4 linked regions of the Struthio camelus genome follow. The protein of the gene in region 3 interacts with the protein of the main gene of each other region in a biochemical or structural test. Links are inferred from orthologs where the notes say so. Each region holds a gene or a part of one and is shown on either strand. Other genes may lie near its edges. The genes, in order: solute carrier family 2, facilitated glucose transporter member 3; RPS6KA1; alpha-1-syntrophin-like; DGKZ.

Region 1 (7,839 bases), on a different chromosome or scaffold from region 3:
GAACCCTGCCTCAAACAGAAGACTGTGCTGCCAACTTTCCCCATTTATTTTTCTTGCCACTGTGGCAATACTTGATATTACTTGATAAAGTCCCAGCACCTGGAATTGAGTGTGTGTGAATCTTTGTATTTATTAAAATAAAAAAGAAATAAAAGAGACACAGAGGAAGCTTTAAGGTCCAACCTAAGAAATTTAAGTGTCAGTGAAAAGCATCTGACATTTTCTGTATTTTTAAAGTCTGTGGAATTTAAGCCAACTCTGTGTTAGGAAGGCAGGGGAAGCAGGCGACTCAGCAGTTGGCACTTGGATGGCCAGTGTTTGGGTTGGCAATTTTTAGAAAGATCATGTTTCTCTCATAGGAAGGACTGGAAGCTTTTCCAAAACATTAGAAGTCCATTTTTCAAGGCTTCCCATTTACTCTCTTAATGCTGGCAGAGAAGAGAAAAGTACTTCATGGGGCCTGCTGCTGAAGTTCCTCTAGTCTACCGCTTTTCTGCTTGTCTCCAGGAGAATAGGGTCCAAAGGCTGCCCAAAGTTTGGTGCCTTTTTGCCAGTAACTCTTTGCCATTGCTCACACCACCTTCACCAATCTTTCAAGCATGGTGCATGGGCCCTTCTGACCTGCGCAACCGTCACACATTTAGCAATTAGACCCCAGTAAGCAGAAACCAAAAGATTATCTCAGATGCAACTTTCCCCTGCTACGTCATGTAGTAGAAGTGTCAGGCTGTCCTTCTAGGTTAGCAAAGGAGGCAGAAGTGACAAGGTCCTAGATTCCTGCATGGGGCAGATGATTTCCATGGTACGGTTAACACCTGAATACATCCCAGGTGGTCTAGGCCTTCTTCTCTGCCACTCTGTGCGGAGGGGGGTGACTGCTCCCCTCGTATTAGCTACAAGGAATTTTGGCACAGAAACACAAGGATCCAGCTCTTTCAAAGCATTTGGAAGCCCACAAAAGGGCATTAAGACATCTAGGTACTTTTAGAGGTCTAGGTCAAGTCACCCCTAGTCAGTGGGTGTAGCAAAGTAGAGGACAAAACTCTGCTCTCCACACTTCCAACACAGTGCCTCAACACAGGAGCATCTTCCCCTCAGAACTCTGCTTTGTCATGGCTTGCAGTGGTCACAGCTGGCCTCCTTTTCCTCTGGGTGTTATATGGGACCAAAAGGCACATACAAACTATAAGGCACAACCAAACTATAAGGAGGCTAGTTCTTTTACCCTCTTTCATGATCCCTTTTCCAGACTGTTGCCTGTTATTCATCTGTATCACATACCCAGTCTCATACTGCCTAGACATCACATGACCTGACCCATCCACTTCCGTGAGACAGGCCATGATCTAATGTATGGATCATTTGTTACTGTTGGCCATACCTCATTTTCCAAAAGGTGTCCAGGGAGCTCAGAAATAGTAAAGCAGCATCCACCCTATCCAAAAGTTCAAAGTTGAGGTCTATATATTGGCAGGAAATTCAAACCACCACCCTTTCCTCTGACCACAGGCATCCATAAGGATCTAGCAGCTATATTTATTATCCAGGAGAGATACTTCAAACTAGCTCCCTTCTTTTTTACTGACTAGAATCTCAGAACAGTATAACTTGCTGAATTCAGCTATAGCTCCCTCTCTGCCCTCCTTTAAATGCCCTTGACCAGATGCTCTCTCACTTGTTCTGACTCATCTTATCACCCCGTCCACATTTCCCATCAATATGGCAGTGAGGGCCCAGAGCTTCCCTGCTGCTGTTGTTTTTTCCGTTTTAACAGTAATTCCCTGGCATTCAGCACTGGGCACCGGGTTCAGCTGGATATTTGCTGTCTGTCTCCCTCCTTCAGCCTGCCTGCTTTTCTGCCCCGATGCATTCAAACACAGGCAGTTCATTAGCTCCACTGAGTTCCACTCCGCGAGTGCACACTTCGCTCTAGGCTGCAGATGAACTACGATACCCACAAGGCTGTCTGTCCCATGTTCTCTCAAGGAACAAGGGGGAAAGAATATGCTTTGCTTTTCTTCTCGAAATTGAAACATTGTTTTCCAATAAGTCTCATATATATATATGTAAACTTTAGGAGAAATTTCCTTTTCAGCATTATGAAGCCTCTGTCTTTAATCCTGGCACAAATGAGTACTGTCTAGCCAGCAAAATATATCTTATTATCAGTATAAAGAAAATATGGAAATATTTATAGCATCATGTGGCTAATTAGGCCATATACATGAAAACAAATCAATCTCATGGCTTGCAACAACCCTAACCAAACAGGCTCTCCATCCCTACTCCCCATCTCCCACAGACAGCACTTATCTAAGTCATTCTTAAAAAGATAGCAGCTGAGGCCCGTCTGCATCATCAGAACTTCCATCTTTACAAAGACAAACAGAAATTCAACAGTATCGGAGAACGAAATGATGCTGAATCGCAACCACACAATTCATAAGGTGATCCTTGCTTCATGAATGTTACTAGATTGTTTCCGCAAGCCTGGCAAATCCTTTCCAGCCATACACATAAGTATCTGCGGAAAGGAACGGTAGCAGACAGATGCTAGACAAACAGACACAACCTCACAGTGAATAATCAGTGAAGCAACAAGACAGCTAAACGCCCTAATGGCAAGCAGAAAGAGATCGGTAGTGGTTACCTTTTTATTATCCATCGCCTGCGACAAACGCCTTAAAATGACTCTTGAGGCCCACTGCCCTATTCCCACCTCTTAACAGAGTCCGTGAACCTTCTGAGATGCTGCGTCCTCGCCTCCCACAAAACAAAACAGCTGAGTCTCTCTCTGTACAAAAGCACCTTCTTTCTGCTTAAGCTCATGTATTTATGGTTTCTTTTTTGGGTGTGGGCGTGAGAGGAGACTTGGAGGGAGGAGCTCCCAGCAACGAAGAAAAAAAAAAAATCCTTTAACCTAATACGCTTTTCTGACTTAAATTTTACATTAGTTTGGATTGGTTTTTGCAGGTGGCAGTATTTCAGCAGCATGTGTCTGGTTTCTTATGTTTCATGACTAGAAAACTAGAAAAAGTCACTGAGTAGGGAGCTAGCAGCTGTGTTATTTAACTCCAGCATTTTGGAAAAAGTTACAAGCGTAGAGAGCAGTATTTGCCACGCTGTTGATGCTATGCAAATATTAACTAATGATAGAACACTAGTGATTTGTATGAAATAAAGTTGTTTTAAATCCCTAGTTAAAACAGTGAGGCAGACAGTGACAGTCAAAAAGACAGGCACACAAATCACATGGGCAGAAGCACGGAAATCATTGCCATACTTTATGGATGCTCTACCCATCTCCCAAAGCTGTGGATGAGACATACATCTGGATAGCTGTCTTTTGAACAGCTTTTCCGACAAAGCTAGAATTTGTGGGGGCAAAGCTTGAGACGTGACACAGAGCTGCATTTGGTCCCAAATTTGAACTCCTTCAGCTGAACTATGCTACGCTCCTTCATATTCCCTTGCAGCCCATCCCTTAACTGGAAGAATTGCCAAACTCTCCTAAGAGAGTAATGGAGATCTATGCTTTCAATTCCAGACAAAAACACTGTAAAAAAAAAAAATTCAGAACCTTCCAAATATTTTCATTTCAGAAAATGGTAGTAACTCAGAGCTGCAGGCAGCGGGGAAGGAAAGGAAGCAGGGGAGAAAGTTAGCTCATATGCCATCTTCTTATTTCTAGAGAAATTATTTTGGGATTTTCCGTCACTTTTCTTTATCAAATTCTGAGGAACTGGAATGATCCCATTTTAATTCCACTTCTGTTACTTCTTTGGCACGGTGGTCACCGGATCACAGATCAGATACATAACAGGAAATTTACAGTTCAAACGCGGTGAGGTTTTCCTCACTCCCTTAATGTGTCTTTTATGTGTTGCAGTTAAAATATGCATGCTATTCCAAACAGAAAATCAGCTCATTAAAAGGACAAGGAAGTCTGCGCATTCTTCTTCACTTGACTATTTTTTCACATTTATTTTTTATTTTCCTAGCCTTTCTTCCACTTATGTGCAAGCACAGCAAACTTTCACCTTGAATCTGGTGAGCCATCTCTCACCCTGGTATTAGCTCTGGAAATATTCAATTACTGGTTAAAGTAAACAGCTTCCATATTTGGTGAGTTTCTAAGCATCTCCAAATCTCAGAGGCAACCTCTGGACTGCAAGAAACATCCCTCTGAGATCTCCTCATTCCTAGTTTTTTTCTTGACCCACATGACTCAGCTGGTGCTGGGAAATCCAAACTTCAAGATTAGATTAAACGTATATTTAGCTTCACGTCCAACTTTAGAAGCAGTAAGAGTGTAGCTGAAAATTAAATACCTGACACATGACACAAAACATAGTAGATGAGATTTCTTTACCTTTAGAGAGTTGGCGAAATAAATAGCAGTAAGAAGGAGACACGAGCTCAAAGTACATCACTAGAAACCAAATCTCCCTGAGAAATGTGGGAAAGACACAGAAATTATGTATTCAAAATCATTTTTGATCCTGTCCATGCCTCCATAGCTTAATGGGAACAGAGACAGATCTATTATCTATTATCAACCACAGTGTCATCATGCTGGTGTCCAAGCTCCTTGCAAGCTATATTCTATCACACAGCTGTTCTGTCAGGTCTGCCCAATTTTCAGTTCAGTGGTGCTGCCCTGTAGAATGAAGCTCTTTCCAATCTCTCTTTCCCCTCCAAGTTACTCACCAGATCTCTTCCTTCTGCATACTAATTCCCACGAATATTAGTGAATCCTCTCTCATGTTTCTTTCTATTTTGCCTGAAGAACAAATTCTTCAGAGATAAGAGGGGCATGGACAAGGCGGATTATTATGCAGTGTTTGCATTTAGAGATGATTTTGTGCTTTTGTGTTGTTGTGTTTATAACAAAAGAGTATTCAGAACAAAAGAGAGAGAATGAGAGCCAGCATGGGCCAGATGCTTCTCCCCCAAGCCATTAGTAACTTTCATTGTTGAGATGTGCCGAGAAAGAGTGGGAAAAAGCATGAAAGATAAGAGAGAAACAAGAGAGTGGGTGTGGAGAGATTGACTCTTAAACAACAGGAGGTTAAAAAAGTGAGAAGAGAAACAAGGAGAGACAAAAGGCAGAAGACAAAAAGGAAGGAAAGGTATAATGAGGAGAAGAAAGAAAGAACTAAAACAGAGAAGGACAAGGAATAAAAGAAAAAAACAGAAGGAAAAAAGCAGCAACAAACCAGGAGAGGAAAAGAGATAACAGATGAATAGATAGAAAAGATGAACAGAAACTGCAGAATTGCCTAACTAGGAGAGCACAATCACAGCCTTGGACAGGTCATGTCATTAGACTAAAGTCTTTTTTACCTCTGCCCTTTACCACAGTGAAATGCAGGTTGGTGATAATGTCTCTGAAAACTTTCCTAATTAACCTAGTCAATTAGTAAGATCACTATGGTCAAAGCATTTTAATGCTTTACCAGACTGATATGACAGTCTTGGAAATGAGAAGTAAGTCTCTTTCGTTTCAAAAAAAAAAAAAAAAAAAAAAACGTTTCTACAGAAATGACATGCGGAGAAGGCTGTTTCCTGAACCCAGCTCTGTGCTACGAGAGAGACGTGACAACTTCTATACCACTTCAGGCCTTGTCCTCTTCTTTTGCTCTAAATTGGAAGAGGACTTCTGCCCACCACCTAGGCTACAAGCCTAGTTTTTTCTGATTGATGTTGCCAGAGCAATCAGGCTTTCTAGCAAAGAGAGAAGTTATATATCTGTGCCTTTGTTTTTTTCCTATGATGTCTGTTCATCATTTCTTATTCTAAGATTGGTTCACATCTAAGAATAGCCACACTGAACTGTGTGTTCATGACTTATGGAGAGTGCTGTATTTCATGAGCAGTCATTGCCTCTTATAATATCTCTCAGTCTCTGCCTCCTTTTCTCTGAAATGTACAGAAAACAGGTGAATTAAGTCTGAAACTGCTCCAAAGCCCAGTCCTCAGGACTGGAACATTACAGGGACAGTGGAGGTGGGAGGCACTGGCAGAGCTGTGTCAGAAGCTCAGGCCTCAGCTAGCAGGAGGTTGCAAGGCAGGAGTGAGAGGCTTTCGGTCAAAATGTCTTTTTTATATATCCGTCATTGTTTCTCTCTGTGGTTTTCTCCATTGCTTCTCACTGTGGTTTTCTCCACCCTGAGCAAGAAACTGTAATCGAAGGGCAAAGGAAGAAAACATCCTAGCTAATGAATTTGGATTAAAAATGTCAGCATAAGTAGAGAGCAAATTGTTCTGAGGAGCAGAATTAAAAAAAGAATTTTCTAGCACAGCCCTGATTAGGAGCATAGCAATAGGAAAATACACACAATTCAGGACAGTGTCTGGGTTGGGAGGTCAGTTCATGAAGAGGTGAAGAAGGACCAGAAGGTATCAGATAGAGGGAATCAGTGTGGCTGCAGTTCGGCAGAGCCCCATTCTGCTTTTCATCCTGTTCTGGAGGGCTGATCAGCATAGGCATAAGGGGTGGGGTTGTTTTTGACAAATCTTCACAAAATTAGGCCTTACTTTATATTTCTTGAGAAAACACTATATTCAGGAAAAAAGTGATTTCTTATGAAGAGGTAAATATTTTTTTTTCATGGAAGACATAAAAAGAATTCCCCATTAGTATGTGCGGGGCACGAAGCTAGCCAGACAAAAGGATAATAGGAAGTTTGACAAATTCAGCTAGACAATGTTCTCTGGCTGCTTACCCAGCTGCAACACTGCAGGCATACAGATACTGATCAGAAAGCATACACTGGCTCACAGCATTTTATGCTTAGCCCAGTCAATCCAGCGCCAGTGTGATAGGTTGCAGGGGCGTGCTGTCTGCTGGCACATGGATCCAGGCTGTGCTGGGAATGCTCTGCGCCCCATGGGATGGGATGGAGGCATTTCAGGAAAGTGAGGTGCCTTATCTTATGTTCCCTTTTAGGTGTACTTCTCACGCCCAAGTATTAATAACAGAAAGCTACACACACTGCCAGTATATACACACACACTGTGCAGAATCAAATACACCCATTACACATACACACTCCCCAGCAAATACACGTTAGACACGCATATATTGACAAAGGAGCTGAGAGGCACAACTGGGCACAAGCAGAGCTGCAGACTTACAAATACCATTTCTGCAGAGATTGCTCATCTAGCTATGTTCTGTTCTGCTCCCAGGTACCTAGCCTGAATAATCACATTACTTTCTTCAGCAATTGCCTGAAGGGTTACAGGCTAGGGAGGAGAGAGCAGAGACTGTGAAAAATGTCTCAGTAAGATCAAATGTGATTACAGTAGCAAGAGTCACAAGAAAAAACAAGACCCTGGCCAACCCACCTCTTCTCCCCAGCCCCATTCCCCTCACTGCTGTAGTCTAAAGTTAGCTGCTGTTGAACTGGCAATATTCACAGAGGGTAGGATTGGAGTCTGACTCTGTAGGCTAATAACGGCTAAGCCAGCTGGCACACAGGGGTTTATCATTCCTCTCCTAGCAGGAGATGCTCTGACTTATCCCAAGGCAGTGCTTCCCTCTCCCCCCACATACACCTCTCCCACCTCACCCTTGCTGCTCAGCAGCAAAGAGCTCAGGGAGCAGCCCATGTATTATTACAGGCAGGATGAAAAAGGAGGTGATGTGAAGGGTGCTCCAAAATACAGCACACTGCTCCTGGGCTGCAGTGTCACCACTGAGGATTCCCCAGGCACAGGAGACAAGTTTAAAACCAGGTCTGAGAAGAGTTATCTTAAACAGCCATTCCAGCTCTGCAGTGCCAGCTCTTGTCAGTCAGTCATCAGAAATGGGGCAGAAAGGGGCTTGACAGA
Region 2 (7,323 bases), on a different chromosome or scaffold from region 3:
TGGCATCTGAAGCAGCTGCAATCGCGCACAGCGGTAAGGAATGGAAAGAAGTCACAAAAGGAAAAAGCAATCAGCCATTAAACACAGCCAAAGTTTCTCATTTACAGGGCCTCTGCTTTATATCTTAAATGTGACGTTTGCCCTGCGCTAAGGAAAAATGTCTCCCTGGGATCAAAACAAGGTGATCTATCATTCCTTCCTTCACGGTGAAAAAACAAAGCAGAAGATGCAAGGAAATGAGATCTTACATTGAGAGCTGGGGATTAGAAGACAGGACGTGGAGTTCAAGTTCTAGCCTGATGACCTAGTGAAAACGTGACTCGGTTTCTCTGTTAGTGGAATGGGAACAACAATGAACTAAGGAACTGATTAGTGGATCTTAAAAATACAAAGAAGGTTGCTATAAGCTCTAATTAAATGACTGTTGTAGTGTGTGCACAAAGCAGACTACACCAGTCTGTCTTTGTAAACTGTAGCAGGCATTTGGGACTCAGCTTGTGAATTCTCATGCGTGCAATCTTTTTGCATTTCCTTATATGTGTAAAAGCAGTGTAGCATGCAGTTAAAGGAAGATGCTCCCTGGCTTCAGTAAAAAGAAAAGAATGGATACAGTGAGCCATGGGAACACTGTGTTATATATGGTTAGGTGGAGAATCGCTTAGGCAGCTTTTAACGTAACGAGGAAACCTCTGCCTCTTCAAAACCTGATTGGATTTGGTAATGTGGATAAGGATGAGTCTCAATACTTCCGCTTTGGAAGTGGCTCTTTGGGGATAACTGGCTTAGTGAGTGCTGTCAACCTTCCTGAAGAGGAAAATGTTACACACCACAAGCCAGGCAACTGCAGAGGCAAAAATATCTACAATTGTATTTGAGGGGGATTTGATTTTTTTTTAAAATGAAAAAAAAAAAAACTTGCAGCATTTTGAATTTTCAGCAAATGTAATAATGGTGAAAGGGCCATCCAGCCGATCTGGAGATCTCCATTTACCTGTAGCAGCAGCGGTCTAAATGGAAACGTAGGAATCCTACTACGAACCTTAATCCAGCCTGCGGCCCTGTCAGAAGAACGGCAGTGTGTGTGTGTGTAAATATATATATATATATATATATATATATATATATATATATATATATATATAAATCACTGTTTTTAGCCATAACAGTTACCCAAACAACAGGCTTTGGCGTTCAACTCAAAAAAACATTTTTTTCTACCCAGCTTGTGGCAAAGGGGCTGCTTTGTATAGCTGTTCTTTGACTAGGAAATAAACGCTGGGGGGACACCACTGTCTCGTTCCACTTACCTAAACTTACTGCTCTGGGCTTACCACCGGTCTGGAGCGGGAAGTCTCATATTCTGTTAATCAACTGTGAGTCAGTGTTGTCTAGTGCAGGAATCAAAGGAAGGATGGTCAGCCTGGTGATAGATAGCACTAGATAGCACTGCTTCTCTTTGAGTCCTGCCCAGCATTGCTGCTGAATCGCTACGGTGTTAGCTAGTCTTGGGGGCTGGAGGTGGGGGGTGAGGGTGCTAGTTCAGTCTTGAGGATACTGTGGAGCTACCTTAGCAAAACCTTTTCCTAGCCTTTAATAAAAGTAGCTTCATAAATGGAGAGCATAGACACGCACAAGTCATTGTTAGTCTCCCTAGTATCTTTAATTTGCTGTTTTATTATGAAAACCAGGCAGGATAATTTGATACTTTTGTTTGGGTGCATGGCACCTGTGGGTGTAGAGCTCTCTGTTCGTTCCAGCCTAAAGAAATCATTGCTCCATAAAGTTCTATAATTTCTGTCTTTTGTCAAACGCACGGTGAGCTGGCCTGTCTTTCTGCTGTGAAATATGAAGGACTTTCTGCATCTCAATAGACCTACCAGGGGGGCGGAAGCAGCAGTGGATTCCTTTCTCCTTTCCCTCACTGAATCCAATAGGCCTTTTTCTGTGTTTCAGACCGTTCCTCCAGATATTGTCTGTCAACCTTTCACCGTGACCTTGAAAATTAAGCCTTGCTAACCAGTAGAAACTGGTTACTGTACCACTCTGTAACTAGCCAGGTAACTGCCAGTTTTCAACACTTCAAAAGGAATTTCTTTCCTTTTTTAACTTTTTTCCACTGTTTACAATAACAGTCATGGCCTTGAGGTCGGAGATTTCTCAGGAGTTAATGACCACCTTGGCTTAGGTTACCCCCTCAGCTGCTCCAGATCACTGTTTGGCACCTGATCTTACCTGACTCCTGTGCACAGCTCTTATTTGAAGCTGAGAGGTGCTCTGCATGGGTCAGCTGATGGGAAATGGCCTTTGTGCCTGTCATTTGTTATGATTTAAATATTCTGCTTTGTTTTTTCCATTCAGGTGGGAATGTCCAAGTGTGCTGGGATGTGATGTTCACAGGTCACCTTCAAGGGGCTTAGCACTGAAGCATGGCAGGGCACGTTAGCGTTTCATTTTGTTCTCCTTCTATAAAGCATGCAGAGTGTCATCCTTTGCTCATTTGTCTGTGCATTCCTATTCCAGACCCGTCTGACACACACACGCAGAGCAGAAGGAAATCCAAAAAGGGCGATGAATTTTGCAAACAAATGAAGAAGGTAAACGGGATGCCAGTATTGACATCATCACGTTACTGGTGCCATTTAAAGCAGGTTTCAGTCTGCACCAGCTGGAGGATGGATGTAACCAGACGGCGGCACGCCGTGCACCAGGCAAGAGGGGAAATGGACAGCTTTGGAGCTAAATGAATAACTCTGCACAAGATCTGCTTCAGCTTGCTCCCACAGTAAGTGACGTGAGTTTAATTGGCTGTAACAGGACCTTGCTAGTACCGTTCTGGTTGTGTTATTTAATGCCTTCATGTGGGAGTCCAAAACTTATGGCAGAGAGGGGCTCTGAGTGTACGGTTGGGAGAGAGCAGTTCCCAGACTTGGCTCAAACAGTTATACTGTGACCCATGGGAATTTTTTTTACTCAATTCCCCCCAACATGTGAAAAAGATGGCAGCACTAACATAACTCACAAGCAGGTTCTGAGGATGACTTACAAATTAACTTCAAGTGTTGTGAAGATCAGCTGGAACGTTTAGACGTACTTTGTTTTTCTCTGCCCTAATTCAGCTTTTTCTGAGTTCACTGCCCAGCCTGAAGAAGTTGCAGGTTTAAGGGCTGTACTGGCTTTTGGGGGTAGGTGCCCTACAGAATGCAAAACCAAAGCTGAGCGCGGTTTCACTTGGACTCATTAAGTGATACTTCCAGCTATGCCTTGATGAAGTCAATGCTTAGCGATGCACCCTTGAAAAAATAATTTCTGTTAGAAATAATTTTATAATGAACATGAAAACGCTGTGCTTTGGCTTTTGGCTTAAAAAAATGAGTAGAAGAGTACACTTCTCCATTTGAGAAGCCTAGCAAGTAAGAATAGCAATGAATTGTGAGCACGTGTGTTTAAGGCACCTTTCCTCCGCAGGCTTCTAAACATCTCAGAAAGGTGGATATGGTTTTTTTTAATCCATGTTTTGTTGGGAACGGGAAAAAGAGAGGGGGGGTGCGCTGCAAACAGTGATGAGCCGTGACTCACTGTGCATCACAAACTTAGAATCCGGATTTCCCGGGGTGGTTTCCTGCTTTAGGCAGCAGCCTGAATCGTCTGTCACAGAGTTTATCCTCACAACCCTCTTCTTCGGGGATGTTTTGTAGTACTGTGTGTACAGCAGAGCAGCAGACAACTCCTCCAGCTCTGGAGGAAAAAAATCTTTCCCAGGCACAAAAGAGAGTTGGGCACCCAGTGACTGACCCAGAGCTGGCTGCTCAGCTGCTTCTTGGTGCTGCTGAGGATTTCCTCAGCAGAGAGGAGCACCGAGTGACTGCCCCGCTCACCTTATGCGGAGCGAGCAGCAGCTTACCAGCAGTTTTAAGATCCGTTTGGCTAACGGGCGCATCCAAATTTTGTCAGGGCGCAAAGCGCACAGAGCCTGCAGCCGTTCACGAGAGCTAACGGGGAAGGTTTTTTCCCCTGACCGGCCTCGCCGCTCCCAAAGGTGGGCTCGGCCCTGGGGTGAATTCGCCACCGGCCGGCACGCACACCCGCTCGCTCGCTCGCTGCCGGAGGGGAGCAGCTCGCTTTGCCCGTGGCCACCTCGGCCTCCTCGCTCCCGAGGGGGGCCCTTTCCCCTGGCCGAGCCCGGCCGGGGGGCAGCGGAGGGGCCGCGCCGAGCCGAGCCGCGCTGCGGGCGGAGCCGCGCCGCCCCCCGCGGCCGCCCCGCTCCGCTCCGCCCCGGCCCGCTCCGCCCCGCCGCTGCCGGCCCGGCCCGGGCAGCCCGGGGAGCCGGTGCCCAGCGCGGGGCGCCGCGCTGCGCTGCGCCGAGCCCAGCCCGACCCGGCCCGGCGCCGCGGGGCAGCCCGCCGCCAGCATGCCGCTCGCCCAGCTGGCCGAGCCCTGGCCCAACATGGAGCTGGTGCATCTGGACACGGAGGTGAGCGGGGCACCGGCCCTCGCCGCGGGCGGCGCAGCCGAGCGGAGCGGGGGGGGACGACCCGGGCCGCCCCGCCGGGCTCCGCGGTGAACAAAGGAGCGCCCGGGCCGGTGCTGCCGGGGCCCCCCCCGGCCCCGCTCGGGAGCCGCGGGCGACCCCCCCCCCCTCCCCAACGCCCCATATCCCGGGGGGCGGGAAGCGGTGCGGGCCGGGCTCGGGCAGGCACGGTGATGGGCTGCGGAACGGGGGGGGGGGGCGGCGCGGCGCTCGGCAGCCCGCCGCTGCCCGTTCAGACGTGCTCCCAGACGTAGAGGGGCACGGGCCCTGCCCGGGGCCCGAGGAATAGATGCTTCATGTGCCGAGTCTTCCTCTTCAGGGCTCCCTCGCTGCTGTTCTTCCTAGACCAGCTGTCCTGAGAGGCCTGCCTGTGTTTCAAACTCCCAGGCACCCTGTCATGCTCCCCTGTTACTTTGGTGGATGCTTTGCTTTTTCCTTTCTAATTACGGCCTCGAACCCAGATGCACAGGACACATCAGCTGTCTGCCTCTGCAGGGTTGTGCCACGACCGTTTCGGAATAAAGGCACAGCTTTTAGGAGTTTTCACCCATTGCAAAGCAGCCAGCTGAGGCAGTGTGCTCCGGCAACCTTTAGTTAAGCATCTTCTAATCCAAATTAGAACTAGCCTCTTTCCTGAACAAATGATATGGCCGTTGTGGGTTTTGTCCCAACCCCTGTATTTGGACCCTCGCAGTCTCCCATCCTCTTGGCTGTATTCAGTGCTCTCGGTTTTGCTCCTTTACCTCATCTCATGCCTAGAGATGTTGTGATGGTTGAGTGGTTAGATTTGCTCATTCCTATTTAAAACTGCCTCTTAAAACATCTTTGCCTTCAGCGGAGGCAACGTTTCACTCCTGCTGCAATGATAACAGATAGAGGTCTGCTAACAAAAATGGGTGAGGTTGCCTAATTTTCATCAACCAGATGTGGCAAGACTTCTCCTAGAGACTTCCCCATGCCAGAGGCGCTGCATGTGCTGGGGGTTCACATCATCTGGCCTGAAGGTGCGGACGCACCCGGCAGCGGGCTCGGCGCGTCTGCTCGGAAGCAGTGCTGGAGTCATGAGGATGTGTTTGTGCTCGAAAGTGGGAGAGGAGGGAGGTTGCTCAGCCTGCAACGACTGGATCGTGATTCCTGGAAACCATGTCGTGCCTTCGGAGCTTGTCTAGGGTACCGGAGTAGGTTAGAGCTAGAACACAGGGCTCTTTAAGTTGGTGGTTTCTCTCTTCCTAAATAGGAAGATATCTTGAAAAGCTAAATAACAAAACTAAACTCATAACGGGAGAAAACTAATGCTAGTGCCCAGGGCAATAAATGCCATTGGCAAGATCGGTTTACTGCTTAATCCTACGTCTTTCAGGTGCCAGTCAGCTGGCTGTGTCAAAATCACGAGATCTCTTCTGACCGGAAACAGCTCGGGGGGAGCTCCCGTATATTTGTCAGCTGGAGTCAGCTGTGAAGATCATAGTTAGCAAGAACTATTTTCCCCACTGGAGTAGTAACCGATGTGTTAATTGTAAACTGAAACTTCGGGGCCTGACTCTCACTTCTCGGCTATCCCCTTCCCCCATCTCACCTTGCCTAGAGCTCTAGGTCAGCTCCACGGTCGGGAGCGGTTTGCATGTGATATTTCTGAAAATCACTTTCCTGAAACCTCAGGAGGGCTGCATCTCCACCTGGAGTGGGACGTTAGCAATTTATCCTCCCCTGGTTTGAGGAGAGCAAACACATGCTCTTGCTTCCAGTGAGAGAAACAGGATGGATGTTCTTCACCTCTAAACCTGGCTGCCGTCGCCTGTGCCAGACGTTAGCATGTTCCTTTAGCTGTAGCAGCGTATCTGCAGGCTGCAGAGAGGGACGTAGGCTCGGTGGGATTTCTGCACCTTGCGAGGTAAAAATGGCTGAGGGTAGAGGCCTGGGGAGAAGATTTTAACCTCTTCTGGGCAAGGTGGAGACTCTTCTGGAATGTCAGTTACGTAAATTGCCCTTGGATCTCTGCCATCATGGTTTTCAACCGGCTTCCTTGTACCTTTGCTTTCTGAGTCACAGAGCAGAGGTGCTGTCACTGTGCTGGTGAAGGCACCGGGCCTGTTGTCTGCAGGTTTGGGGTTTTTCCACTGCACTTCAGGAGCGCTAGCAATCTGTTCCTGGGGTCTGGTCCCAGCTGGCGCCTGTTGTCCCGGCCTGCCGGCGCTCAGCGTGGAGCTGCTCCGTGGAAAATGCGTGGGGGTGGGTGGCAGCGGGAGCTAGGACTAATCTGTTGCAGGAGAAAAGTGGATCCACCTCTGTCCTGGGGACTGAGCTGGTTTCATATTTTTTTCCCCTTATTCTCTCTCCTGCTTATATCATTCAGAATATTGCTTATGTAGTTGAAAAATCTGGCTGGGGCAGAGTACAAGCGATAGAGTGGAGTTGAATGACTTCATCACCATAGCGATGGAAACTGTCATCTAGGCTGTGCTTTTCTTTAAGCTCTTGTCTTGTAACACATACAGCAACATAACTGACGTGGGATTACCACAAACCTAATCACTTCGAGCTAATTATTTTTGCCGGTATATATGTATTCTCTTTTATTGAGCAGCAGCCATTCACGAGTAACTATCTTTTCCAAGCATCTTAGCTGAACGATGCATAAAACAATGATCAGAAGATACAGCAGGAAGCTATGTGAGTTTAGTCTCTGATATGCCTTGTGCGCAGCGCAGCTGACTCCTCAGTCCGTTTGGGCTATGGCAGTTCTGCTGGCAATCTTTATTTTTGCAGAATTATTTCCTTTCTCTAAATTGCACTAG
Region 3 (7,656 bases):
CAATGGGACCCACACTTGGCGCCAGCGCATAGCTGAGGGCTGGGGATGCTGCCCAGGGCAAGGAGCAGAGCAGAGCACCCTGCCCTCTCTGGCAGCCCGCTCGCATGGGGCTGCCCCAGGCAGGCTCCCTGGGTTGCACAGGGCCAGGACACGGAGCAGGGCCATGCCCAGGTCTCAGCAAGCTCATGACACAACCAATGTGTGCAGCCAGGCCAGGGAGCCTGCCGCCGCCCCGGCGTCCTCGGCCTAACCGCAGTCCCTGTGGCCTCCTAGGTGCAGTATCAGCCCCTGAGCTCCAGCCACGTCCCTAGAGCAGCCCACTGCAAAAAGCCTCCACTCACAGCGCAAAGCACAGCTGCTGTTTGCACCAGAAACCAAGGGGAGGCATTTCTTCAGTATTATGCAGACGTTGTCTCTTTGGCATAACAGCCTACTGCCTCGCACCCTCACCCAGGAAGAGGGAAACGGGAGCCAGGCCTGCGTCAGCCAGAGCAGGCTGAGTCAGCACCAACACCAACCCTAGGGCTGCACGCCGCTCTGCACAGCACCGGCCCCATCCCACCCTCGGGCCACCACCGAGAGCGATATAAGGCTGTTGAGGCTGGAAGGAGAGAAGCAAGAGGCAATTCTGTGGCCTCAGCCCTGGGGCACTCAGGCATTTTGCAGTAAAGAGTCCTCAGACAACACAAACTGCCCTGAGGGCTGGGACCAGGACTCCTGGGGCCAGCCTATCTGAGCACTCCTGCTCTGCAGAGCTGTAACACCTAAGCTGTTTTCACACTCTGCTCAGTACGCGCTTCTGTGGTAAACTCTGAGGTTAAACTACAAGAAATTTATTACTTTTTAATGGGAAAGTGTCACCACCCCAGTTAAGAAGGACCAATGCCTTCCCTCTGCAACAGCGGTGGTCACCTTCAGAGCTCTGTGACCAGCTGTAATGGTTTATAGCTCCCACTTTGGATTACTGCCACTTGTTTTTCACATATTTTTTCACTGCAAAAATAAAGTTTTAACTGAACCAAGTAACATTTCTCCTTTCCTAGGAGAGTCACAGAGGTAGCGATAACTTCGCAGCCAAAGGATTATCACAAAGGGGATTTTACACTTCCCAAAAGGAAGCACTGGCAATCTCAGGCATCCCATGGTGGCAGGCACAGCAAGCAGCATGAGAGAAGCAAGCTGGTGTTTCGATCCAATCCCAGCAGACGGACATCCACATCGCAAAGTCTCCCTACATTGGGCACTTGTACAGCTGAAGCGGAAGCAGGAGGTTGAGGCTAAATTCTCTCTGGCCACCAGAGGCGAAGCCACGTCAGAAGGTAAGATTCATACCACCACTGCCTATGGACCACCATGCATGCAAACTGGCCTGCTGTTACATTAAATTACAAACTCTTACCCATGCACAGGGATGGACCTTTGCCCGTGGTTGACTATTTAATCCTTCTTTCACTGAATTTCTAACAAGCTCAGAGCTGCATGAAAAATAAACACAAAAAGAAATGCAATCCCTGCCCTATGAAGTTTTCAGCCTAAAGTTCAGGCAAATCACCAAGGAGCACAGAAACTTGGGAGGGGAGCACCAGAAAGGAAAACAAGAATTACAACAACAAGGCTTCCCTGCTGCTCAGCCCTCCGAGACCGGACATCTTCAAGCTTGAGAGTGTTGTTTTAATGCCCCAGCTCTTAAGAAGTACTCTGTGTCTGCAGATCCCCAAGGACCTTACAAAGGTTGCAATCATTTTCTTCATTCTGCCGACAGTTTAAAAGGGACATTTGTCAGCCCAACAGACATAGGGTCACTGAGGAAACCAAGACAAACATGCAGAGACCTCTGTTTGATGCAAAGAGGCAGCTTTTCTGTAACATGGGTACCCTATGCGTCCCATCTGCTTCTTCAGACATCTTCCCTACCAGGAAAGTGCCAGCGTGTGCAAAGTCGCAGTGGGAGAAGAAGCTCTGCCAGTCCTGGCTTACCAACAAAGGGCTGTGAGCACCACCCTCCAGTGTCCCAAGCACAGGAGAGCAGAGCCCTGCTCCTGGCTGGGGGCTCCTGAGAAGCTGGTCTGTCACCCGGCCTCCCTCCGGCACTCTGTGCACTGAGCTCTCCAGGAGCCGTCTGCCTTTAAAACCCAGCTCTTAGAGCATGCAGCAAACATCCTTCAGGCCCTTCGTACTCCAGCTGTCACACCTCCCACCTTGCCCTTGCTCATCTCCTTTTGGGGTAAGTTAAGAGACTGACTGAGGCGTGAGAACCCCAGTTCCTCCCCAGTGCAGAGAGATGAGCTCGGCTCCTGGATATAGTTTCCATTCAGTGGAAACGCGGAGTCGAGCTGCAGAATCCAGTCTTGAGAAGGGGACGGCAACAGGTCGCTTCCCTCGAAATCCCCGTCTCGCAGCCCTCGCTGAAAACGCTCCGCTCCCCCACGAGGTGCATCACCTCTGCTTCCGACTTGGAAGGTCAGACCCGCGGAGCAGCCGCGGCCCGGGGAGCACAGGCGTCCCAGGCTGCCAGGAAGCCGCGCGCCCGCGCCCGCAGCTGCCGCGGCCCCGCGCCGGGCGCCCCGCAGAGCCCGGGAGGGCGGCGCAGCCCCGCGGCGCTGCCGCGGCCCCGGGCTCCCGCGCCGCCGTCGGGGGCCGCAGCCAGGACCCGCCGCGCCGGGCGCTGCCCCGGCCCCCGGCCCCCGGCCCTCACCTTTGATGCTGATGCCGAGCCCCCCCACGTCCTGCTTGACGACGCGCACCGTGCGCCTGATGTTGGCCAGCGCCTCGGGCACGGCGGAGCTGGGCTCGCCGCCGTTGAGCTGCGCCGGCGGCGCCTCGCCGGGGCCGGGGCCGGGGCCGGGGCCGGCGGCGGGGCTCACGGTCAGCACGTCCTCGGCCAGGGTGAGCAGGACGCGCAGCCACTGCCCGCCGGGGCCGCGCAGCTCCAGCAGCCCGGTGCGCGGGGCGCGCCTGCCCGCCGCCATCTTCCGCGCATGCCGCGGACCGCCGCCGCTGCGCCGCCCCCGCCGGGCCGCACGGCTCCGCTCGGCGCGGCTCGGGGCACCGGGCACAGCGCCGCCCCGCCGGCCTGCCCCTGGGCCGCCCGCCCCGCCCTGCCCGCCCCGTCGGGCTCGGCTCGGCTCGGCGCAGCCCGGCCCCCCGGCCGCCTCCCCGGCACCGGGATCCGCCTCCTTCGGGCCACGGCGGCGCCCCGACCCGTCCCGTCGCGGAGGGTCAGTCCCGCGCTCCCGGTGCGCCCCTGGGGTGCTTCCCTGCCTGGCCCCGGACGTGCCCGGCGTCCCCCTTGTTGCACCCTGCCCCGAGGAGCCGCAGAGGGAGCCAGGCCCCCGCGCCGCCCTTGCCTGGCCCGGGATGTGCTGCGTGCCCCCATCCTGCTCTACGTCCCAGGAAACAAGGCAGGAGCCAGGCTCAGGGAGCTGCTGGCTCAGCCCTTCCTCGCCCGGGGAATCGCAGCCCCCAGTGACGGGTGCCCACGTGTGGCAGGATCCGGCCACCCGGCGAGGCCGAGGGTGCCTTGGAGGCTCCTGCTTCGTGCAGCAATTTGCACACCATGCGCAAGGTTTCTAAAACACTTTTGGCTTGTTCCCAGGTACCAAAAGACCTACTTTCAAGGAAGTTTGTATGCAAGGCGCAAAGCGCTCTTGAAAATCTGGCCCAAGCAGGGGTGGGCTCTCGGGGGCTGCTGAACCACCCGTTGGCTCTCTCGCTCTGTTGAACTTGAGCAGCAGATTTGGGACTGATGCTGGAAGCACTAGATGACACTTTTTGGCCTAGATAATGTGGCGTGTCAGACTAGATGATCACAACGCTGCTCTGCAGCCCTGAAGTCTGTGCATCCCTCAGCAGTGTGGTGGCGGAGCACAGCACGACTGCCGAGATGTCTCTGAGTAAAAGCTTGTGACACTCTGTTATCCTGAGTTATGTTTTGCCCGGCAGAAAAGTTTGCATGGGCAGATTCTTCTTCGTGTCATCAAAATTACAGTGCTGCGCAGGGCGGCGGGTAGGGGAAGGCGGCGGGCAGCAGATCAGAGCCGGGCGTGATTCTGGGGAGCAACATCCCCCAAAATGGGGCCTGCTCTTGAAGCCTTTCCCTGCATTGCTGCTCTGGGCCAGGGGAGCTGCCTGCATCCACCCTTGTGAGCGACGTGTTGCCCCATATCTCCTTTCTGTAACAAGAGCAACAAGGTGCTCTGGGGTTGGCACCTTCTGACAACCCCTACGCAGTGTCAAACAGGCAAGAGGTGGAGGCGAGAGGTGTTAGGACATCCAAAGAAGTCTCTGTTCCTTTTTCCTTGCTTGTCCTGGTCCTTGAAAATAGGAACGATACTTTGTTTCATTTTCTGTAACCTGGTGGCAGCAATTAGAAAACACCTATTGGTCCACGCCCCCCCCCCCCGCACTCCCTTCTCCTAATGCTTTGTGCAGCTCCAGATGTCTCCAAGCATTGGGGCTTCCTAGCTCCCTGAGCTCTCTTTGCTACAAAATACAGAGGCTTAAAATAATGTAATGGTCTTTTAAGGAGGTTGGAGAGGGTACAGAGGAAGTGGGTGTAGTGGGGGACTAAGGGGCGCTGCTCCTGGCCGCCAGCTGCGCGTGAGGCGGGAGAGGCTGCGGGCGCGTTGCTCAGCGCAGCCCTTGCCCTCTCGGTGCTGGGGCTGCGGCCCATCCTGTGGGTCAGCCACGAGCGTCGGGGAAAACCCGCTCCCTCCGCTCTGCTCCCCTCCTGTGCAGAAGTGGTGGAATTTCTCGAGGTTGCAGCAGAGGAAACCCTGAAGGTTATTTCCATAGAAAACAAACATTTCAAATATTCCAGTTTTCTTTCTCATAAAAGGTCCGGAGTTTGGCTTAAGTGACTTTTCGTTTTGCATAACAGCTCTGCTAGCTGTAAAGGTTCCCCTTTGCGTCAGGAGGTGCTTTTACGGGACCGTGTCACCCACCCAAAGGTATTTGCTTATGATCACGTCCTCTGTGTTGTACCGTTCGGCCACACAAGCCCCGCTCTGGCTGTCCATGTAGCACAATTTGTTTACAGCAGAGGGGAATTTTGTCCTTTTGTCCTCAAGGCTCTTTTTCCCTGTGCCATCAGTGCTCCAAGCACTCACTTTATTTGCCAGACAGTCAGCTGCAATCAGCAGTTTGTCTGATTTTTTTTTTTTTCCTTCCCAGCACTGCTCTTGTTATTTCCAGCATAGGTGATTGTTTAAGGCCATCGTTCCCATTTGAAGCGACGGAGGAAACTGTAAATACTGCTCTTAGTGTTGCATAATTGCAACATTGGGGTCGTTTTCTTTGCTTTCTCAGCTCTGTGTCTGCCTGGCAGCACGGATGCGACGCTTGAGCATGTCCTCCATGCAAGGAGACAATCTGGATCCTGTCAGTGCCACATGGAGGGAAAATCACTGTCCTTCTCCATCCCTGCTGCTAGGACGGATGAAGTCTGTGGCCAGGTGGGACTTCACCTACCACACAGCAACTGCCCCCCAACAGACACAGCCAGACTAACATGCAGGCACTTAGGCAGCCCCAGCCCCGTGCCACTCCTCTCCCAGCAGCAGTTTTGCCTGAATAAAAGGATCATTTACTTCCCCTTCAGTAATGACATTTTAATAAAGTCCTCTCAGTTACACAGGTTCCTGCCCTGCCCTCAGCTGCAGGAGCCTTGAGTTTGCAGAAACGTGTGCCATACCCTCCCCTATCAGGAAATCTTTCTCCAGCCTGAATGCAGAACAGCTTTGTCAGCACTGAGCACGTGCAGACGTCAGCGCCAGAGGAGAAGGACTCATGACACCCACAAATCGCCAGAGGAGAAGGACTCATGACACCCACAAATCGCCCACCGAGCGTCACGGTGGCTGCAGACAGGGGACCTGCTGGCCCAGCTGCACTCAGGGCTGGATCTTTCCTTCAGGAGACTCCTAAAGCCGTTGCTATTATGGTAGAAAGATGATCATACGGACACCTTCTGCTACACATGATCAGAGGACTCCCTCTCTCTTTTTTCAGCGATTTAGTATTCCTTTGGCAATTATATCAGGTACTTATTGATGGGACAGTGATCTAAGTATTTCAGATGCTGGTTTCTTCTAATGCAAATCAGGACCAAAAAGGGCCCTAAATGCATGTCCTGAGGGGCAGCTCAGAACTGGAGACCCAAAGGAGATAAAAACTGCCACTCCTAAAGCTGTTTGTAGATCCTACACGATTTGTGGCAGAAGCTTGGATCCGGAGCTCCCTTTGCTTTTGCTTTTTGCAAAAAAGGACTTGGGATTTTTTCATATGACCACAAGCAGTCAGTACTATATATAGCCTGGGTTCACCTGCCCTAGAAGTGGGCAGATGTGCAGACACGGTGCCGCAGGAGGAAAACGTGACAGATTGGTGAGCGCGAGGAGGAGGGTCCTCCCTTCCCTTCTGCCCAGCTATTGCTGCGTGGCCGGGCTTTCTGCAAGGATTCAACGTTTTTACACTGTGTCTCCCCGACCAGGGGCCCCCTGTTCTTCAAGGGGCCTGAGGAAATGATATGGGAGGACCCATCATGGGGGTCCTAACTCTGGAGGCCCAGCTTGGGCATTGGGTAGGTCAGCAGGCTATCAAGAGGGATCAGCAGGTAGATGGACACAGCGTTCGGGGTCTAGGCTTTGATCTCCGAAGACTCAAATCGTTTGGTGTCTCCTCAGCGTGGCTGGGGTCAGGTGAGTGGTGCTGCAGTACAGGGAAGACGGACATGCCGGGATGCTCTGCGGGGTGTTCACACTTTTGGGACTACCTTCCTGCACGCCCGCTCCCCCAGGCATGCTCTGAAGCCCATCCTTTCTCACGCAGGAGACTCCCACATTTTTAGGGACCCCCTTTGTGTCCCAGGCCTGTGGTGAGCTATGGGAGATGCACCCAGTGCCCTGAAGGGTCCCAGGCTGCACCTTTTTTTTGATATACTGTGAGGCATTGAGAGAATTAGCCGCAATGTCCTGCTGCAAGAAGGACCAACGGCCACGAGTTTGATTGACTAATGCCTTGGCTCTGGGCCAGGGGCCGGGGGGGCCAAATCTGGGCTGCCTGGCACACAGGAGTGAGTCGCATGCTTCCAGGCAGGTCAGCATCGGCTGCAGGCTGGATGCAAAGATGCTGCTCTGCTGGCACGGCTGCATGTGTGTTTCACCTTTCAGCCAGCACTCGTGACTGCGTGCCTGTATAGCACACTGGTTTCCAGCATTTCTGAACCGACTCTCCGGATTCCCATGTGGGACAGCTGGGCCACACCGAAAATCCACACGTCATACTGCCTACAATGATCTACTGACCCCTTCCCCTGGCCCACACATGCATGTGTGCGTGATCATGTTACCCTCCTGCAGTAACAAAGCCAAAGGCTCTGCTTGCTGGTAGCTAATGGGCTCCTTGGCCCTTTCGCAAGCCTGGTTTTGCTGAGCTGCATGTCCCTCCTGCTCAATTAAAGCCATATTTGGGGCTGCGGAGAAGCTCCTTCCAGCAGCAGCCTCTCAGAGTCCTGTTAAGACCTTCTGATACTACTTTCACAGCTGATTTCCATCCCCTGTTTGAGCCTGTCCTGGCATTTTCTCTGCATAATCTCTGGTCCCCTGAATTTCATCGTTAAGCAGCTATTATTAGACTCATTTCTTGGCATAGAGAGGG
Region 4 (7,740 bases), on a different chromosome or scaffold from region 3:
TATGCTTTCCCCAGCACCAGGCAGTAGCAGTGCTTTTGCAGTCTCTCCGCCAGGTGGCAGCACAGCCCGCATCCGTGGATCCTGCCAGGGGACTCGCGTGACCCCAGGTGACTTACCAGCAGCTTTGCCATACAGTTTTGCTCCCCAACATAGCAGAAATCCCCAGAGGCATTGGTCTCAAACCAGATGTGCTCCCCATAGACTGCAGTCTCCTGAAAGGCACAAGACAATGCTGTGTTTCTCTGAGAGCACCCATAAGTGATCATCTGATCTCCTAAAATGCTTTGTGCTAGGGACAAGACAACTTGATGTGGGGGTTGGGGGGGCTAGATGTAGGCAGGGAGACAAGATGCACAGAATCACCAGGGCAAACACCTGCAGAGAGGAAACCTTACAAAGCTGCTGCCACAGCCCACCCTGTTGGAAATGAGAGGCCCCCAGGAAACCAACTCTCCTCTCTCTCAGATCCTATGGAAAAACCTACAGCCTAGCTGTGTCCCATTCAGTGGGGCTGCCTCTATTCCCCCTGAGAAGAGGCACCTCGGCAAATTCAATGCTGGGGTCTCTCCTGAAACAGCCTCTGTTCCTTGACTTCAGGCAGGTTTTGACCTGCACCCTTCCTTTGCCTTTGCAGGAGGAGGGTTGGGGCGGAGGCTGGCACCCATATGCCAAGGAGAGCCCTGTGTCCCAGGGACTCCATTTGCCAGAAGACTTCCACTGCCAAGAGCAGAAGAACTGGAAGTTAAGTAGCTGTGCAACCTCCCAGGGAACTGCCTGTGCCCGCATAGCCTCTCTTCGCAGCATCAAGGGGTGCTGCCAGCAGCACAGATGCTGGCACCAGCGGAGGCCACAAATGTGTCAAAGCCAAAGTCACCTGGGAAGCCCTGGCCTGGGAAGAGCCTGCTGCTTCTTGTCTCAAAGCCCATCCTACCTCATGCCCAGCAAAATGCAAAGCAACTTACGCTCCAGTCCACAGTGCTGCGTATCTGCCTCTCTGAATCGCTCCTCAGGGCTAGCGCAGGGTTTGGCTGGGCTACCATGTGCTGGAGGCTGGATTTGGCAATAGCTTTTCTGGAAGACACGAGGGCTGCCTATTAGATCAGGAGAGGAGGAATGTGCGCAAAGAACAGCCTGCCTCTGGGATAGACAGTGATACTGGAGAAGAAAACCATCCTCAGAACCAAGCAGCTGGAAGTGCAGCGAATCCCCCAGGACCACTGCCTGAGGAACATCACCTCTCCGGCAAGTCAGTCCCTGTAGGGTGCAGAGGTGCTGGCCACATTGCTGACACTCACCAAAAGACATCCTACATCCGGCAAAAGACAGGCTAGACCTGCTGGGTCAAAACTCTCAGGGATGACAGGCCCACTGCATGACAGCCCAGGATACCCCACCAGCAGTCTCCACCAGGCTGTAGAGGTGGGGCTGCCTGTGCAAGGGCAGCCTTGAGCCCCTGCCCCAGTGCAGCTCCCCATAGCTTCCCACATATAAAGGCACCTCAGAGCCTGAGGCATTTTCAGAGTCCGGCACAACCGGCTAAAGCAAAGTAGCTTGTTTGGGACTAGGGAGCTGGTGAGCTTCCTTCGGGTAGGTTAGGGTGGAGGAAAGGACCAACAGGTCTAGTCAACTGGAGAAATTAGACAATACCCACCTCTAGCCCTAAAAGAGCCTTGGCCTCTTTTTTCACACCTGGGCTGGGAGAAGGCAAGGAATACAGAGGTACTTTGTACCGGCTGGAAGGGGACGTGTGGCAAGCCCCAAGGGGCTGCGGTGAGAGCATCAGACAAACAGAAAACTACCTCAGCCCTCAGTGACCTAAGGAGGAGACTGGCTCCTTGCTCTCCTCTACAGACACAAACAGCACTGCAAAGACATTGACAGCGGTGAGGCCTGGCACAGCCTTCTCCGACCCTGGCCACGTGGCACAAAAGGCCTCAGACCCAAGCCAAGCCCCTGCCCCTTCCTTCCTTCCCCATCCCCGGCCTGGCAAGCCTGGAGCCCCACATCCACCTCCCCTCTCTCAGATACTGCCTCGCTAACGTCACACGCCGCCATACATACAGCAGCCTGGGGCTCCAGGAGTCGGGGGCGGCAGGGCAGACGGGCTCCGATCCCAGGCACTCGGAGGGGGCAGCGGGAGGGCGCCTGGCTCCGGCTGCAGCCATCCACCTCCTGGGCAGCAGCCGCGCTCGGCCCGGGGAGATCAGCGCCCCGGGCCCCACGGCGTCACTCGAACGCCGGTGCTGGCTGAGGCGGCGGTAGCGCCCTTGCAGGCCGTAGGCAGCCCTGCCGTACACGAACTCGGTGGGCAGGAGATGGGAGGATCTGCGACGCAGGCACCGGGGGCCCCTCAGCAGCGGCCTGGCGTGGAGGGGCCGCAGCACGGGGAGCATGGAGAGCCAGGTCTCCTCAGCCCACCACCTGCGCCTGCCTGGCTCCGCTCCCCTGGCGGCCACGCTCTCCTCCCTGCCACCACCGTCCTCCAGCGACTCGGATCCGGAGCTGTCGGCACAGGGCACCCCTTTCCCCTCCTCTCTCATTTGGATAAGGCTGGCCAGGAGCATGGAAGGGCCCATCAAGTGGGTATCGATGGATCGCACCTGACCCCCGCGCTTCTTCTGCACGGCGAAGCGGGGGCTGAGGCATGGCGGTGTGGTGCTGGAGCGGCGCCGGGAGCCGGGGCTGGCCTGCTGGGGCCGGCCCAGGCAGGAGAGGGCCGGCAGCGGCGCGCCGGACCTGCACCGGCGCTGGACCAGCGAGGCTGAGGGCAGGCCCACTTGGGAGCGGCGCCTGGCTTTACCTGTGGGCACTGCCACCGCGCTGGCTCGCCGCGACCCCGAGGGCCCCTTCCTCTGGAAGTGCCTCTTAAAAAAGGTTTCCATAGCACAGAGGGTGGCACCTGAAGGGTGGCTGTTAACATAGAAACCAGCAATTAAAGAGCCTCCTGGCTAGGCTGCAAAGACCAAAGCAGTGACGGGCCAGGGGACGGCCCCGAGCTCACAGGGTGCAGCAGAAGAGAGGGCAGGAGGAAGGTGAAACAGCAGGAAACCCAGTTGCCAGACCTACGTGGTTGCTGCCGAGCTCTGCCTCTCCCTGCCTCAGCCCTCTCTACACAGGCAGAAAAGGAGGATGGGGAGAGGCGTGAAGGCCTTGTCTGGTGGCTCAGGGGGTAGCAACGAGCAAACAACTGGATGCTGGGATGCCTCCACCTAGAGCGAGCAACAAGACTGGGACCGGCCTCTGGTATACAACACACATTATTCACTGCTTAACGGCACTGCAGGAGCAGCTGGGCCACAAGGCACCCTCTCCTCTTGAGTTCAGAGCCAAATAAAGCTCTCCCTCTTATTAAGGCAGTTTCTAGGTTTATTTTCACAGCTTAGTGGAGGGTGCTGTGATGGCAGGGCAGGCATCACGTGCTGTTCCTAGTTCCCTCTAGATCCCCTGCTCATCACTGCAGGATCAACGTAGTCCTAACTCCTCTTTTGCACTGCACAGCTTCCATTTCCAATCTCTCAGCAATCTGTCCAGTCCTCTTCAGATTTCCTAGTCCCCAGCACTGTAAGGCACAGAAAAAGCTCAGCATTCAAATGTAGCCTCCTGTCAGCACTAGGATGATAGCTGGTTCCTGCAGCTACTTCTCTGCAGAGGGCTTTGGGTGGGAAGAAAAAAAAAAAACAGTGAATTTAGGAGGCTGGAGGTGTTAAAGGGATAATTTCTTGACTTGGAGCAGCTAAGAAGAGACTCCCTTTAAAAGGAACAAAGCCTTTCCTACAATCTCATGTGCTGAGCTGGATGGAACAAGGGCACGTGGCACTCGATGCCTTCGGTGAGGACAGCCAGGCTTACCCTGGAGAAGGTGCTCAGAAATACCCACTGGACTACTCGGATGTCTGCAGAGGCTGAGCTCCCCTCTAGACGACCCTGTGGAGAAGAGCCTCTGTACTGCTTGAAAAGATCAGCCCTTGCTCACGACCCCCAGTCACACGCATTCATCCCCTGGTGCTGGCCCTCCTGTTTTTCCAGTGGTAACCGCTCTGTGTAAGCACCAACCGCACAGAATTTGATGCAAATGAAAACAAAGGACTTACGAATTTGCAATAAAAGCAAGGCCAGTAAAAGAGGGGCAGGCAGATTTGGTAGAGGCTGGCAGAGGGAGCTGGAGTGGAGGTGGCCTAGGAAAATCGTCCTGTCCGTCCTGCTCAGAACTCCCCTCTCTCGGTGGGAAGAGCTTTAACATGACTCTCGAGCTTTCATTGCCCAGCTCTCAAAGCCTAACTCGTTGCCAGGACATTACAGCTGTTCGTGAAAAGCGCTGGGCCACAGATGGAAGTTGCTACAACACTGGTTTAAGCACTCTCAGCTTAGCATGCAAAGGTTTAAAAGGAAGAGACCGAAGCTGACTAATTCCAGTGCTCCTCTGCTCTAAGCAAAGTGCTTCTCCTCTGACCCCCCAGCCACTGCTTGTCTTCAACCTCTAAACAGAGAGGGTTTATCTGAGGACAACTCAAGAAACACTGACACTCACAGCTTGGTAGAATCTTTCTGGCGCCTCAAATGCTACAGAGCCAGGGGCCTCCAAATTAGGGCAGCCTGCAGGCACACGCAAGCCACCGTTGTCACTCCCAGCAACTTCTCCGTGCTGTAAAAGGCTGCTCCTCTACCCATCGTGAGCGTACAGGCACGTCACTCACCACTGCACTAAGATTAGCTGCGCTCACTTCTGTCTTCCTTTCTTCTCATGCTTTCTTATGCGGTCACTTGCTGGTCAGCAGTACTAAAGACCTTCAGAACAGCCTGGCCTAAACCTCAACAGCCCTGAGGGCCATGGGAACAGGCAGATTTGTCAGACAGATGCTTCCCTTTTTGCTTGGGAGACGCATTAAGATAGCACACGGGTGCTATTTTCTGGACCATAAACAGGCAGTTTTGTTTAGTGCTTGTATGCAAGCAACCCACTGGGCTGTACCTCTGCTTCTTTTAGAGAAGACTATAAAGCCAAGTTTGCATTTTGGAGAGGACAAGACATGGTTCATTCCCCTCCAGCCTGGTAGGCAAGGAAGTTAGCTCTGTAGTTTCTGTAGTCTCACTGCTATTCCCTGTGCTACTGTTGTATTCAGCAATGCAGCCTAGGGAGGGGAGAAAGTACAGCAATACTCTACAGAGGAATCTGCAGCTCGGACAGCAGCACTGGGGGAGCTAAAGTCTTGCTGAATTGAAAGCAAAACCAGAGTGCCATCTCCTCAGAGGAATTTCTCAAGTTCCACCACAGTGAGCGATGCAGATACGTCAAGCGCTAACTGATCACTAGCACATTTAACCATCGTACCGCCGAGGCCTGCGCAGCTTCGCAGATGGCATAAGCAAGTTCCGCTGATCACTCTGCTTCTAGCCCATCCTTGACCCTGCAATATGCTAGTCTTGTCCTTTCTCCCCACAATTTATAGGATACCTCAGTAAACTGGATTATCAACAATAGTCTTAAAAATTGTCTGAACAAATGGAACGGGTTAACAAACAACAGAGGACACTGCCTGGGAGTGGCAAACCGCAACAAGCTCTCTTTGATCATGTTTACTTGCTAGGGTAGATGTACTGCCAGGCTACATCCCGAATGAGTTGAATTGGTGCCCTCTTCTGCCCCAGATATTCCACCAACATTCAGGCTGATGTGCTGCTGGCCAAGCTGCTGCTATGGGCAGAAAGATCTTTCAACACGGCTTCCTTCCTTTTTGCACCACGGTCTCGTGAGGAAATTTGCCTCAACAACCTTTGCTTGACATTTATATTTTGGTTACTAGTTGATTAGAGTTTTTTTTTTTTTTTTTTTTTTAATCTTCAAGGTTGTCAGAGAGTGGCGCACACTCTCTTGTTCCAGTCACCAGTGGTGAAGGGTATTATCGGGAAATCATTTGACAGCCCATAATGGCACCATGCAGCAACTCAGATGGGGAAGTTCTTCACCATCCTATCTCTTGCATCTTACTTGCAACCTGAGCTGCCAAATGCTATACCGTGGGTGTTAAGAGCTGCTGCTGGCAGAGCACGGCGCCTGAAGGCAACGAGGCACGGACTGCCTAGGGCTGATGTGCACTGGCAGAGCCGTGAGCAGGGGAACCGTGCACTGCGGGGAAAGGAGCCTGACCAGAGCTAACTCTTGAAAGCTTCTGGCCCAACACTTGCACGTTTCTGGAATCTGCAGATTTCTCTTAAAAGACTATTTTCAGCTGTGAAGATGGATGAGAAGCAGTGCTTGTTACTGTTCTGCAGACTGCATCGCTCAGTTGAGTTAGGTAAGGAGGCTGGATGGAGGCAGTCTAACATTAGCAGGGTGGGAAGGAAAGGAAAGGAAAGGAAATAATGCTGCACACACTAGCATATCAACTCTACTTACAGGCAGCTTTACATTATCATTACAATCTGCTTCTGTGAATGAGGAAGGAGTCGGCAGCTTTGGTGTGCAAGTGGAGCTTTTGGGAGTTTTTTTTTTCTAACCTGACCCCTCAGTGCTCCTCAGCCTCAACCTCCTGCCTGTGCTCCCAGCCTAGCATCAGTGAGCAGAGATACCGCTGAAGCAGGAACACACCCCTGACCATGGACAGTCAGTGGCGCTGCCCCTGAGAGCTGAGGAGGGGCTGCAGGAAGCTGTCTGGGTGCTCAGAGAAGGCTGCAAGCTGTTACTCTCAGGATAGAGCTAATCTCAGTGGAAGGATCTAAATGCCCTGGAAAGTCAAACAGGGATCTAAGAAAAAAACCTTGCCTCTCATAACTTCAGTAGATGCAGAGCTGGTAGATCAGCTGATAAGGGGACCCTGCTCTCCAGAGAGCCACCCAAATATCCAGCACACATCCCTTCCATGGCGGTGGTAGTTCCAAAACCAGAAAAGCTGATTCCAAGGCCAGAACATGAACTTTCGTCCCTCAGGCACAGGCTTTGCCCGTGGTAGGGAGAGCTTCTTGGTATGCAGCTCCTGTAATTCTGCTTTGCTCCAATAGCCTCAAGCAAACCCCGGTGTACTGTACTGAACAAGCCCTCTGTGACCTTCTTATCTGTGTACATGGATGCTGTGCCACATGTCTGTTCAGTCCTTCCCCTTCATTATTATCCCTTCACCCCCCCTCCAGTGAACTGGTCTCTTCCTGAGAGGACCCAGAAGCAACAGAGATCCCAGGCTGCCTTTCCAGCCCCATCACTTCCATTCAGATACCACAGGTTGCCGTCAGTTAGTGTTTCCACCACAAGCTTGCACTACCGCTCTCAGTGCTCTGATACTCAAGTCTTTCCATGTATGCTGCTGTCCCCATACCACCTCTGCTGGAATCCTGTCCCAGCTCTCCCTTCCGGCTCCCAGGCATCAGCTACTGAACCCTGCTCCCCAGTCAGCCCTCTCCAATACACAAGGAAGAGCAACTCACATGGATTAGGTTTGCCAGGAAAGGTGTCCCTTTCTCAGAAGCATCAGCCACTAGTCCCTGTCACAGATGGTGAAGAGAGCATCTGGGTCAAGACATGCTATAGCCCTTGGGGCTTTGGTTGAGGTGAGCTGAGCTGAGCTGAGCAATTATCAGCAAGTTCCCAAACTCTGTGCAGTTTGTTTCTACCTAAAATTTACATCTAAGTTGTAATCTGTCCTACATCAGGCAAATAAAACAGGGACAGAAGCTGCCTGAGGGGGCAACTTCACGAGAACAAGGGCAAAAAGGTCTGAGAATAACCTGTTACTGAGTACAGCTACTACT

Evidence for each region.
Region 1: the proteins of alpha-1-syntrophin-like (region 3) and solute carrier family 2, facilitated glucose transporter member 3 interact in a test that uses a peptide from one of them, tested with the Homo sapiens proteins (2 studies listed by BioGRID and IntAct). The link is inferred for Struthio camelus from reciprocal best matches to the Homo sapiens genes SNTA1 and SLC2A3.
Region 2: the proteins of alpha-1-syntrophin-like (region 3) and RPS6KA1 interact in a test that uses a peptide from one of them, tested with the Homo sapiens proteins (2 studies listed by BioGRID and IntAct, with this or other methods). The link is inferred for Struthio camelus from reciprocal best matches to the Homo sapiens genes SNTA1 and RPS6KA1.
Region 4: the proteins of alpha-1-syntrophin-like (region 3) and DGKZ form a complex in vitro, tested with the Homo sapiens proteins (2 studies listed by BioGRID and IntAct, with this or other methods). The link is inferred for Struthio camelus from reciprocal best matches to the Homo sapiens genes SNTA1 and DGKZ.

Annotation. Positions count from the first base shown.
Region 1 is NC_090942.1:88,614,987-88,622,825, reverse strand, and holds the start of solute carrier family 2, facilitated glucose transporter member 3, read right to left. Parts: upstream 3,001-7,839; 5' UTR 2,666-3,000; coding exon 2,651-2,665; intron 1-2,650. UniProt on the Homo sapiens protein: Facilitative glucose transporter. Can also mediate the uptake of various other monosaccharides across the cell membrane. Mediates the uptake of glucose, 2-deoxyglucose, galactose, mannose, xylose and fucose, and probably also dehydroascorbate.
Region 2 is NC_090964.1:7,012,186-7,019,508, reverse strand, and holds the start of RPS6KA1 (ribosomal protein S6 kinase alpha-1), read left to right. Parts: upstream 1-4,314; 5' UTR 4,315-4,408; coding exon 4,409-4,471; intron 4,472-7,323. UniProt on the Homo sapiens protein: Serine/threonine-protein kinase that acts downstream of ERK (MAPK1/ERK2 and MAPK3/ERK1) signaling and mediates mitogenic and stress-induced activation of the transcription factors CREB1, ETV1/ER81 and NR4A1/NUR77, regulates translation through RPS6 and EIF4B phosphorylation, and mediates cellular proliferation, survival, and differentiation by modulating mTOR signaling and repressing pro-apoptotic function of BAD and DAPK1.
Region 3 is NC_090959.1:4,021,940-4,029,595, reverse strand, and holds the start of alpha-1-syntrophin-like, read right to left. Parts: upstream 3,002-7,656; 5' UTR 2,970-3,001; coding exon 2,696-2,969; intron 1-2,695. UniProt on the Homo sapiens protein: Adapter protein that binds to and probably organizes the subcellular localization of a variety of membrane proteins. May link various receptors to the actin cytoskeleton and the extracellular matrix via the dystrophin glycoprotein complex.
Region 4 is NC_090946.1:40,031,707-40,039,446, forward strand, and holds the start of DGKZ (diacylglycerol kinase zeta), read right to left. Parts: upstream 3,007-7,740; 5' UTR 2,883-3,006; coding exon 2,062-2,882; intron 1,072-2,061; coding exon 963-1,071; intron 213-962; coding exon 117-212; intron 1-116. UniProt on the Homo sapiens protein: Diacylglycerol kinase that converts diacylglycerol/DAG into phosphatidic acid/phosphatidate/PA and regulates the respective levels of these two bioactive lipids.